Tamandua tetradactyla: one gene and its partners. The protein of the gene in region 1 interacts with the protein of each later gene in a pairwise test. Links are inferred from orthologs where the notes say so. Each region holds a gene or a part of one and is shown in the gene's direction. Other genes may lie near its edges.

What was found. The genes of interacting proteins can lie anywhere in the genome.
Region 2: the proteins of PNKP (region 1) and TRIM37 interact in binary tests that used the Homo sapiens proteins (3 or more experiments, as listed by UniProt). The two-hybrid records come from large-scale screens. The link is inferred for Tamandua tetradactyla from reciprocal best matches to the Homo sapiens genes PNKP and TRIM37.
Region 3: the proteins of PNKP (region 1) and ZNF639 interact in binary tests that used the Homo sapiens proteins (3 or more experiments, as listed by UniProt). The two-hybrid records come from large-scale screens. The link is inferred for Tamandua tetradactyla from reciprocal best matches to the Homo sapiens genes PNKP and ZNF639.

The regions. Positions count from the first base shown.
Region 1 is NC_135342.1:11,294,968-11,298,715, forward strand, and holds the start of PNKP (bifunctional polynucleotide phosphatase/kinase), read left to right. Parts: upstream 1-1,052; 5' UTR 1,053-1,146; intron 1,147-1,487; 5' UTR 1,488-1,499; coding exon 1,500-1,650; intron 1,651-2,195; coding exon 2,196-2,242; intron 2,243-2,319; exon of another isoform or gene 2,320-2,599; coding exon 2,600-2,899; exon of another isoform or gene 2,900-3,158; intron 3,159-3,168; exon of another isoform or gene 3,169-3,431; intron 3,432-3,446; exon of another isoform or gene 3,447-3,517; coding exon 3,518-3,597; exon of another isoform or gene 3,598-3,681; coding exon 3,682-3,739; exon of another isoform or gene 3,740-3,748. UniProt on the Homo sapiens protein: Plays a key role in the repair of DNA damage, functioning as part of both the non-homologous end-joining (NHEJ) and base excision repair (BER) pathways.
Region 2 is NC_135332.1:40,340,802-40,344,549, reverse strand, and holds the start of TRIM37 (E3 ubiquitin-protein ligase TRIM37), read left to right. Parts: upstream 1-1,006; 5' UTR 1,007-1,232; exon of another isoform or gene 1,233-1,277; intron 1,278-3,748. Other genes in the region: lysophospholipase D GDPD1, read right to left, coding at 701-842. UniProt on the Homo sapiens protein: E3 ubiquitin-protein ligase required to prevent centriole reduplication. Probably acts by ubiquitinating positive regulators of centriole reduplication.
Region 3 is NC_135331.1:77,607,730-77,611,477, forward strand, and holds the start of ZNF639 (zinc finger protein 639), read left to right. Parts: upstream 1-936; 5' UTR 937-1,027; intron 1,028-1,259; exon of another isoform or gene 1,260-1,392; intron 1,393-1,413; exon of another isoform or gene 1,414-1,682; 5' UTR 1,683-1,770; intron 1,771-2,335; exon of another isoform or gene 2,336-2,452; intron 2,453-3,748. UniProt on the Homo sapiens protein: Binds DNA and may function as a transcriptional repressor.

The DNA.
Region 1 (3,748 bases):
TTCTCATTTGTTCCATCCTCAACAGCCTGCCAGTCGAAGCCCGTCCGTGCATCCAGGACGGTACCAGCTCCCGCCCCTCTCCCCTACCCCCACAGGTGCCTTAAAGGGCCCTCGTCCACCCCAGGTGGGGGACAGGGGGCCGCACTCTCCGGCCCTGGTATGGGGGAGAGAGTGGGGGGGTGGGTTAAGGAGTTTGGGATCGCTGCGATTAAAAGTTTTACCTCTGACGAGTATGATATGTGTTAACGGGTGTTCATTCAAACTTTTTTTGAAGCTGAAAGAGCAACATCTCATTGGTTCTCAGTACAAAGCTGGGAGTTGGGGTTATGCCCATTTTACAAGAAAACGGAGATTCGCGGGTTGGGGAAGAGGATTCCAGGTCTGTGTGACTGTGGAGCCCCCGTCTTTAGGGGTATTAGGGTTGGAATCCGAATGTCTTTTAGGAGTCAGTCTCCTGAACCCACATAATTCTCCGATTCTGGCAGGAACTGCCAGATGGGGCCGCAGGTTTCCTACCAAAAGAAGACTAGAAGTTAAGAGAGCCGGTGGTACCTGGCCCGAAGTTGGGACTCCGCAAAGTACTCATGACGCCTCCATGTCCCAACAGAGCACCATGGGAAGGGTGCGAGCAATAGACAACCTAATGTAGCCGGGTCTACTATGACCGCACGTTTTCTAAGCTCTCTACGGGTATTTACCCCTTGAATCTAGTAATTCACGAAGCGGAGATGATTATCTGCACTTTATGAATGAGAAAAGTGCAACATCGCGGTTAAATCAGAACGGTCTAGGATTAGTGCTGCTGTCAGTGACAGGGTATCTTCCACTTCAAATGCGAAAGAACCTACTTCCGCTGTAGCGGTCTCCAGCAAAGAGGATGTAAGTTAAGTGTTCAAGATGATGAGAGGAAAAACTATAAACGGACACATTCGCCCTACTGGCCTGAATCTCACATTGTAGTAGGAGGGACGAGGTCAGAGCTGAGAAGGGACCGCAGGCACAAGCGACAGGAGGAGGGGCGGGGCTGCTGTGATGGGAGGGGCCGGGCCCCGCCCCTTTCGGTGGCAGAGTCATTTCCGTCCGCCACCGACCAGCAAAAGCGGCCGGCTCGGCTGCCCGCAGAGCGCCTCCGGCGGGAGTTCCCAGGTGGGAGGTGGCGCGCGAGCCCGCGCAGCGCGCACGGGTGAGGCTGGGGGCGGGCCGGGAGCGCCACGCGAGGCTCGCGGCCTTGGTCCGGGCAACTCGGCGTCACGGCTCCCGGAGAGATGGAGCCGGGGGTCAGCGCCTGGGAAATGGCGCGGCAGGGTGGGATTTCCGGAGCTGGTAGCAGCTAAATGGAGGGGATTCCGAGTGGCGGGTCTGGGATGGGGAACTGTGGGTAGGTGAGACTTCCTGTGGGCCTTCGGGAGGAACCAAACCGAGGTGGAATTGGACGGAGGGCGGGACTCAAATCTGCCACTCAAACTCTTAAACCTACTTCCCGCTAGGCGCGGGCCGGGATGGCCAAGTTGGAGGCCCAGGGCCGCCTGTGGCTGGAGAGCCCACCTGGTGGGGCACCTCCCATCTTCCTGCCCTCGGACGGGCAAACCCTCGTCCTGGGCCGGGGGCCTCTGACCCAGGTCGCCGACCGGAAGTGCTCCAGAAACCAAGGTGGGCGGAGACGTGGCCTGCCTCGTAGAGCCGGAACGCCACCGGGTGGGGAAGAGGGGCCGTAGGCGCGGTTAGGGAGACGCTTGCCTGCCGCATGGGACTGCACGGCGCAGCCAACCCTGGAGCTGGCTTGTGCCTGACTTGGTGCTGGCCACACACTGTCTGCGGAGGGGGGGCTGGCGCCAGGGACAGGGTCACCAGTGGGCAGAGAAGGATGCTCACGAGCCACGGGCGTTGTTAGAGAGAGCCGCCCCTTCGGAGAAAAGTGGAGGTTGCTTGGTAGGGATGGCTGGTAACTGGCAATCCCAGAACCAGCAGGTAGCCACACCTTTTGTCAAGGAGGCAGCCAGTTCTCTCGAGAAAAGTACCCGCCCTTTTCCTGGGGGTTCAGTCTACCTACAATCACGTGTGTGAAAGCGTGAGCCAGTCCCTTCAGAAATCAGTAATTCCCCGGTAAGGGTGCTTACAGCCCAATCCTGGGGCCCAGGAACGAGGGATTCCACTACACAAAGATGACAATCCTGACTCCACCCCTCAACCCTCAGTGGAGCTGGTCGCAGACCCTGAGACGCGGACAGTGGCAGTGAAACAGGTACCAGAGCCTCAGCTTGCCCCCACCCCACCCCCGCCCCGGAAAGCCGGGGGGCGGGGTCTGGGGAGGAGCCTCAACCTCCTGGGAAAATCTGATGGGCTGGGGAGGGTGGGATGTGACCGGTAAAGAGACTCCAAGAGAGCTGCCTGTTTCCGTGGGGTATCTATCTATCTACCCTCATTCAAACTGAACCAAGCTACACCCTGCCTTTGAAATCTTTTCTAAAACCCGAATTGGTGGTACACAGTGAAGAGGTGGGTCTTAAGGGCCTGAATGGCAATGGACAAAGGCATTTGATGGGAGGACATTCCTAAGGTGGGGCAGAGCCAATGCTGGTTCCTCGCTCTTGTTTTGCAGCTGGGAGTTAACCCCTCAACTGCCGGGACCCAGGAGCTGAAGCCTGGGTTGGAGAGTACCCTGGGAGTAGGAGACAAGCTGTATTTGGTCAATGGCCTTTATCCCCTGACCCTGCGATGGGAAGAGGCCCACACACCAGGATCCCAGCCAGACACTCCACCGGGTACCCCTCCGGTGGCCCCAGCCATGGGGCAGGATTCTGGGCCGCAGAAAAAGAGGATGCGGAAGTCATCCCCGGGTTGGGAGGACTTGGAAAAGCTGCTAGTGTTCACAGCACCTGGGGTGAAGGCCTGTGGCAAGGTGAGGCCCAGCTGGGGCTGCAGGGACCCCCACTGGGGACCCAACCCCACACACACTTGCTCTCTGCCCCTGGGCAAGTCATTAGAGTTCTCACATGACAAATTCAGGGGAAATTATATTTTCAGCTCCAGCTTGACCTATGGTAGCCACCTGGGAACTGTGGCAGGAGCATTATGATGAATCATTTTTAGGTCCAGAGACTTGAGTTCAAAGGCACTTAGCATGCTGTTTTAGGGCTTGGACCCCCATTCCCTCGTTTCTGAAAAGATGAATCCATGAAAAACACATGGCTTACAGTTAGCACCCAAATAAAACTTGGCCTGTTTTTAATTCCTGTTGTTAGCCCTTGGAGGTGAAGAAGGTGGGGCAAGGAGAGTACGAAGCTAAGAATGCCCATTTTAAAGAGTGGAATACTGAGACATCCAGAAGCAATGAGAGACACATCAGGCCCTGCACTCAGAGGCAGTGAGGGTGGGTCCTGGAGGGACTGTGTCCTTGCATAAGATGTTCACCTGTGACTCGGTTTCCCCACCTGTAAAATGGACACATGTGAATCTGTCTGTGGGTGAGGATGAGAAGTGTAATCACATTGTGTTCCCTTCTTCCTGGTGTCACCAGGTGGCCGGCTTTGACCTGGATGGGACTCTCATCACCACACGCTCAGGGAAGGTCTTTCCCACTGGCCCCACTGACTGGAGGTGAGAAGAGGCAAGAGCAGGGAGGGAGTGGGACCCAAAGTCTCCCACCGAGCTCCTGGCTACCCTGCCGCTTCCCCACCCTAGGATGCTGTACCTCGAGATTCCACGCAAGCTCCGTGAGCTGGATGCCGAGGGCTACAAGGTGTGTGCG
Region 2 (3,748 bases), on another chromosome or scaffold:
CCATTCCTGCCCAAGTTCCCACGGTGACCTTGGGAAGTGTCCCCCGACAATGGGCCTCGGTTTTCCTCTGTGTGACTCTGGGCCACCGCTTTCAGCAGTGTTCAAAGCGTGGGGGCAGCACCTGCCCCCGGGGACTACACATACCCGGGCTGCATGCAGCACTGCACGGGCTTCATCTTGTTCCCAAGCCCTGGAAGCCTTCAGGTGCCCAAGCTCATCACTCAGGCTCTCCCCACACGCTCAGCCACCCGCTCGCTGTCCGAGCCGTGAGCACCCAGCTCCCCAGGCTGGGTACGCCAGTCTTGCACCGCGCTCCCCCAATGTGTCTCGCAGCTGTGATGGGACCTTGCGATTATCCTTAAACACCCACCGAGAAACGCTCCGTCTATCTACCTCTCATTGTCACCCTGCTCCTTCCTCCTTCACAGAACCCCTCATACCGCACCCTCTGCCCTGGAGAGACCCCATCACCGTGACCACCCTGGCTCTGCCTCAAGACTCCTTCTCTTCCCTCAGAGACCTCCCCCTTCACACCGTCTTCACCTCCGGGGATGTCCTCTCTGCACACACTCGCTTTCCTCCTCAAACTCTTACGCTATTTCCATCCGCCTGCCTTTTTCGAAAATCCAACAGACCCTCAGCTCTAGTCGGTAAAAAAGCTTCTCCCCCTCTGCCATCGGGTTCTGGGGACCCCTCTCACCTCCACGGTGAGAGATGTGTTTACTGAGGAATCGCTGCTTCTTTCTTTGGTGTAGCAGGGTCGGGTATTTGAGCAAGAAGAATGAGGTCACCAAGTACCCTCCCAGGGTGGAGAGAAGATAAAACGCTGCGGTGGACGACATCTCAGTCCCAGCGTGGGAAGTCCCCCACCTCCGGGCCCTCTGAACTCCGCTGCGATGGTCGCAACGGCTGCGGCGGCGGCGGCGACTGTCGGAGATCTGCTCGCCCCCAGCTGGTGCCAGTCGCGCAGCGCAGTTGTCCCTGCCGGCTCACCACGCAGGCGCAGCCAGACCCCAGCGCCGGAGTAACAAAGGGGCTCCTACACGCAGGCGCGCTCTGGCTCCTGGGTAGGCGCCTTCTGAAGTTCGGTTGTGAGCACTTTACCAGCTAGCTTTGTGGTCTGACAGCAACATTTGGAAGAAATTCCCAACTGAGGCAGACGTTTGGAAACCTGCCAGTGCCTTCGCCATCGCTCATGCAGAAAAGTGGGATTTAAGTGCAGCCTCAGGAAGGTATGACATAATTGGGAAATCACATCAGGAAGGAAAGACTCCAAGGTATTTCTTAGCCCCTATTCTAGGAAATATAACGAATTGCTACTGATGGAGGTGTTAACGTTTGCTTAAACAAATAATAAACCCCTCAGTTTGTCTAGCCAAGGAAAAATTTTCCCTGTTGTCATATACAGTTAAAGGTACTAGTTTATTAGTCAAATATTTAAGAAACCGACTCCTCTCCTCCTTCAATTCACTGTGAAAATGCAATTCCCCGTGCCACCTGCACGTCAGGACTCAAATATTTGTTGACTGAAAATCTCATTTAAAATAAGGAAACGCTGGCAAGATTTTAGGATATCACTTAAATATCCTAGAAAGACTGGCAACTAAATTCCAGAAGGCCCTATTTGTTTCACTTTTATCATACACATTGCAAACTACTAAAACAATAAGAACACAATAAAAGGCAAAAGCATCCAGAGCTGAAGGAGACAATTTGCAAGTAAATGTCTCCCACAGAAGAGGAATGCAGAGCGAGTATTTAAAATCTTGTGATTCTTGCTCCAGCCTTGGATAAAATCACTCATTTTCTCTTACTTTTGTCTGTAAAATAAGAGAATTTTGAATAGATGATTACTTCTATGCTAATAATACATGCTATTGTTCCTAAAAAGTCTATCTTTAAGAGGAGTAAACAAAATTTAGAAGATTATTGAAAAATGGGTCTTCATTAGGTTTAAAAAAGTAGCTGGGGAATAAAAAAAGTAGCTGGAAATGACTTTTGCATCAGTTTACCATGAGCAAACTATTTCTTGATCTGACCCCATATACCAAAGAAATGGTAAATGCCTTTTAGAAGAAAAAGAACTAAGTGTACAAATGTCCAAATAAAACCAAACTTTAAAAAAGTAAAACATTTTAAGAAAACTTAGATTGAAAAACCGTCTGTTAAGGTTTAAGAACTATATCAAACTATATCATAAAGATCAGCTGATATGTAAGTTTCTGTTTCCCTTTTCCAAAATATCACCTGATGGCAACTCTTCTTTAAATTTATTGACAACTACTTAGAATGAGCACAGACACATACATGTATTTGATAACTATTACCAGAAAAATAAACATTAACTAAAAATAGGTAACTATCAGATATGGAGGTACCTGTAGATTAGCAAAAAAGATCTCTAGACTTAAGACTCCTTATACGTAGGTATACCATTTACAAGCTAAGTGACTTTGGCATACCACTTAGTTTCAGCTTCAGTTTCTACATCTGTAAAATGGCTGTAGTAGTATCTAATTTCACAGGGCAGTTATGAGGATCTAATGAGGTAAAATTAAAGTACAAAAAGTAAGTAGTTTGCCCAAGACTTTACATCTAGTGACTGATATTGCTATTTCATTCTGGTCAAGAAGTTAAAGAGGAAATAGCATCAGTTTTCTTGAAACAAATAGTCTTGCTCTTTATGGAATATACCATAAGGGAAATTCCTACTTCAAAACTGTCCTTTGAAGCATATCAGACTCGGCAGATCCAAGAAGCAGTGAAAAGAACACTTGGGTTCTAGTCCAACAATTCCTTGTCATTTCAATCTCATGTAAAATTGTACTGTCTGAATCACTAGTGTTCTAGACAGTAGAGGCAAATGATGAGGGACACATATTACTAGGACCAGAAGGCACAAACAAACCCCAGAATTCTGAAGAAGCTCATGAGTTAGTTGTGATACTACTGTTCAAAGTAAGAAAACTACTGTACTAAATTGCTACTATGCTGATGTACTGAGAGACTGCCAACAGGATTTCCAACTATGAATAAGGGAATCTGATAATAGGTTAGAGCATGGGCCAATTTTCTGTAGGAGCAATTTAGTAATATGTATGAAAACATAAATTGTGTACATTCCTTGACCCATCATTTCTAGGTCTAGGAGTTTATTCTACAAAGAAAATTTCACAAGTATTCATCATTGTTTGTAGAAGCCCTAAATCCAACAATAAAGAACAGGTTAAGTAAATAATGATAATGAAAACTATGCAGACATAAAAAATGATGATAAAGACTTACATTTATTGACAAGGAAAAATGTCTACCATATATTGTTTTTTTTTTACCATATATTGTTGAGTGAAAAGAGCAAATTACAGAATATGTATTCTAAGATTCCAATTATATTAAAATGAATACATATTTATATGTGCTATGGATATTCACTGTAATATTACCAGTTAACTCAGAGCAATAGAATTCAGGTAACTTACTCTTACCTTTGTTAAAAAAAAAAAAGTTAAAAAAATCATGACACAATGCCCATATATTAGTTTCACAAAAACTACAAAGCTATGTTCAAAAACAAAGACAATATTTTAAATGGAATTATAAACTCAGTATACTCACTTTTATATTGAGAAAATTGCTGTGATAAAATCAGTTCAATGCTCAAGTACATATAATTTGATAGGAGAAAAGGAAGTAATAGCCAACTGATATAGTCCTCTAGAATGTTTGCAATAAAAAGGAACCATGGGTC
Region 3 (3,748 bases), on another chromosome or scaffold:
CTCCAACTTGCTTTACGCGGGCCCTGTTAGCATCTGTGAACAACCGTTTATTGGGGCTGAGCACATCCACAAGGTTACCCGGTCATAAAAGCGTGGCTTCACCTCCTGGGGGCACGAGGGGATGGAACTGGGGTCAGTGGTCACTTTGCAGCCGCACCGGTCGCTGGCCGGGCGGGAGTGGGGAAGGCAACGCGGGCGCGGACGCGACCCTGACTGCAGCGCTGACCACCAACAGGCCTAGAACGCGAACAGCCCCAGGGGAGCATTCGTTCCCTTGCCACTTCCCTGAACCCTGGGCGCTGAGACTCGTATCCAGCCCCTCACTGGCTCACATTTCTAACTTGCTAAGTGGGAACAACCTCGACACGTGGTCGTGAGGATCAACTTGTACGTGCGCGCTAGTTCGTGCAAGGGCGGACAGGTCCTGCAGCCGCGTTCTCGCAGCACTGACGCTCCCCCGCGCGCTCACGGGGCCTCGCGTAGGTCAGGTCACCCAGCCCCAATACCACACTGGCCCTGGAGTCGAGGAGGGGCTGAGGCCAGCCGGACCCAGGGCCGCCCGGGCGCCCTCCACCTACTCCTGCGGCGGCACCCACCCGGCACGGCTCCTCGCGGGACGCCAGGAGAAGCCGGGCGCTTCCGGCCCCGGGACGCTCTGGCACTTCGGGGGTTCCAAGGTCTATATACCTTCCTTGATCCCGGCAAAACCCTTCTCGCGCTTGCCCCGAGGCGCTTCCTGGGGACAAGGCTGCCCACCCGCAGCGACGCCCCCACTCCTTCGCGGGCGACCTAGGGGAGCCCCCGGGCCAACGAGCCAGCAGCGGACCAAGCGGTAGGGCCCACCCGCCGAGCGTATGAGGGGCCACACCCCCGCGCCGGCCACCCCCAGGCCAGGAGGCCGGTGGTCTCTCCCGAGCAGGGGGCGGGGTGCGGTCGCGCGCCCCAGCCGCCCGCCCCGCCCGCGCTCGTCACCTCCCTCGCGGTTGGCGGTCCCCTGAGGAGAGTTGCGCAGGCGCGGCGTGCGGCGGTGAGTACGGCCTTGGGGCCCGGGCCGGGACTGCTGGGCAGAGCGTGGGGCGCGCGGGAGGGAGACGGGTCGCCCGGGAAGCACCGGCGACCGTCAAGGCCAGCGCGGTGCGGCCTGCCGGGGCACTGGGCCGCTGGGCCGCGCACTCCTCCGCCCGTGCCGGGGCCGCTGGACCGCGGGGCTGCGCCTGGGCGGGCCCGGGACGGGGGAGCGCGAGGGAGGACGGGAGGGCGGGCCCGGGGCCGCCGGGCGTGCGGACCGAAAACCTGCCGCCGTTTTAGGGCGGGATGGCGGAACCCTCCGCCCTCGCGACGACAGGGCCACACCTAATCCCGCCCTCGGCGCGCCTCGGCCTCCTGCTGCTGGTCAGCTTGGGCCTCTGGGGTCGCTCCCGGGACACCCCACCCCCACCCCAGGCCCACCGTCTGCGTGCGCGGCGCGGGGATGCGGGTGGCGTGGTCCAGGCGTGCCCCGCGCCCCGCGCACCTTAGGGCCTCCCGCACGCCTTGGGTTCCCCAGCGCCTAGAACCGCACCCTAGGGCACCCCACACTCTGCGTCCCTCGCACCCTACTCGCGTCGGGCCCGGTGCGGTTCTCCAGCCCGTAGTCTAACCACTCGCCACGCTGCCTAGCCCTTTTGGTTTTATTTTTTCAGTACAGCCTAGGCACACAAGTAATTGAAGCGGATTTTCTCTTTGCAAAGGGGTAAAAGTTGGTGCCTGACTGAAGGATATGCCCAACCAGTAAGTGACCATCTCTGTAATCAAAGGTTTGACGCCGAGTTGAACACGTAGTGGACGCTTGTCTAGTTCCAGCTCTCCTGCGTGTTTGTGTTTCAGTTCCTTTAAAATGTGGAAAATAGGTATACTGATTTTAAAATGGAGGTGAAAGTGCTTTTTAAACCTTTTAGTAGAAGAGGTAGATTTTAATTGTAAATATTTACCTTATTTTAATAAGGATTAGGAGAGAATATTTACACTGCATGAAAGGCATTAAAGAAGGTTCTATTTGATGTGTTACTGCCCTTTATGTACTGTGTTTTTTACATAGACATTTATTGTTGGTTGGAAAAGTAATAGGGTGCTTAACGTGTATTTCAAAGTTGCTTTTTTTAAAAAAAATGATGTTTACTGTAGTGTGATCCCATTTTGTAAATGTAGCGTATATATGTATACCTTCACGTAGAGCTAGAAATATGTACAGAAATGTTAACTGTTTTTTGGGGGGAGGGGTGAAGGGTCCCTGGGTAACTTAAAATTTTTTGTGTTCTTGTTTGTTTTCCTGCACATCTGCATATTACATGTGTAGTTTGTTTTTTTAAGTGGAGAAGGTGGAGCAAATAATAAATTGCATGCAATTCACAAATATCCCAATGAGAGGACTAGTGAGCAAAAGTCTTCATAACAGCAGAAACGCAAATAAAAGGTATATAATAAATTTCTGCTACAATTAAGAATGGTTAGCGTTTTTGACCTTGAATGGGCATTCACCAGCTCTCTGAAAAGAGGTCCGATAAGTATTTGGCCATTGTTCAGCTCTGGGTAGAGGGCAAAGTCCTCCTGATCGAGATAATCTTCTTCTTCTAACCCTGCGATCTGATTCCAGGCCCGCTGGCAACAGTTAATTTTAGCACCATGCTTGATTTATTTTTCTTTATTGTTCTTCTTTTCTAAAGAAATTGGAATATGTTCTGAAATAACAAGACACTGTCATAACATGTTTTGCTAATGGTTTTCAATTTCTTCTCGCTGATACTTTGAGCATTTAGAATATGAAGTGTGAGGCTATTGACTATATAAATTCTGGATGTATATCAAAGATATATTAGGAATAAGTCTTGGAATTTTACTTTCTTACATAAAGATGAAAACTGCTTTTCTTTATTTGATACTTTAGTACACTGCATTGAAATGGTTACTCAAGAAATAGTATTTGTGTTAGGTATTGGCATCATTTCTGTAAATCTCATGGTTGTCAGTTTCTTTGGGTGATTGCCACCCCTTCCCCCAATTGATGGCTGAGCATAAACGAAGCAAGAATACAGCTTGCTGGTGATGGCGATTAACCATGAAGATTTATTTACGCACAATTGATCAAAGCCTAGAAGTCAGAAGATAGGCATTTTCATCTCTGATTCTGCCACTTCCTAGTTGACTTGACTTTCAAGGAAACTGAGTCTGTTTCCTCATTAGTAAAAACAGCGTGGGTTTGATTATAGCCCCTTTATCTAATTCATCGGATTATTGTGAAGATCAAATAGGATAAGGGTTAGAAAAATGTTCAGTAAACTCAAAGTACTATCCTATTACCAAGTGATCACATCACCTGTAGTGCTGAGGTACCCACAGCTTAATGAAGAAGCAAAAATAGTATGTGCACCCGAGTTCTTTTTCATTAGAATGAGATGGTCTTAGTAATGATACCGAATTTTTCCTAACCCATAAATCACATCACGGATTAAAAAAGAAAAAAAAAGGGTAGTATATAAAGAGGATATAGAAGACTTCATACTGCTTTTTTTTCTTGACATGCCTTACCTCCCATTGTTAGAGTGGAAAAACCACTAATCTGAGATGGAAGATACAGCCCTGATTTTGGGACTAATCTACTTATTTGAATTGGGATGATTACCTCAGTTTCCTCATCAATAACAAGAGATTAATAAAAACTGTTTTGAGAGGCTTTTATGAATTTTGCATATCATGGGATTAAATAAAGTAT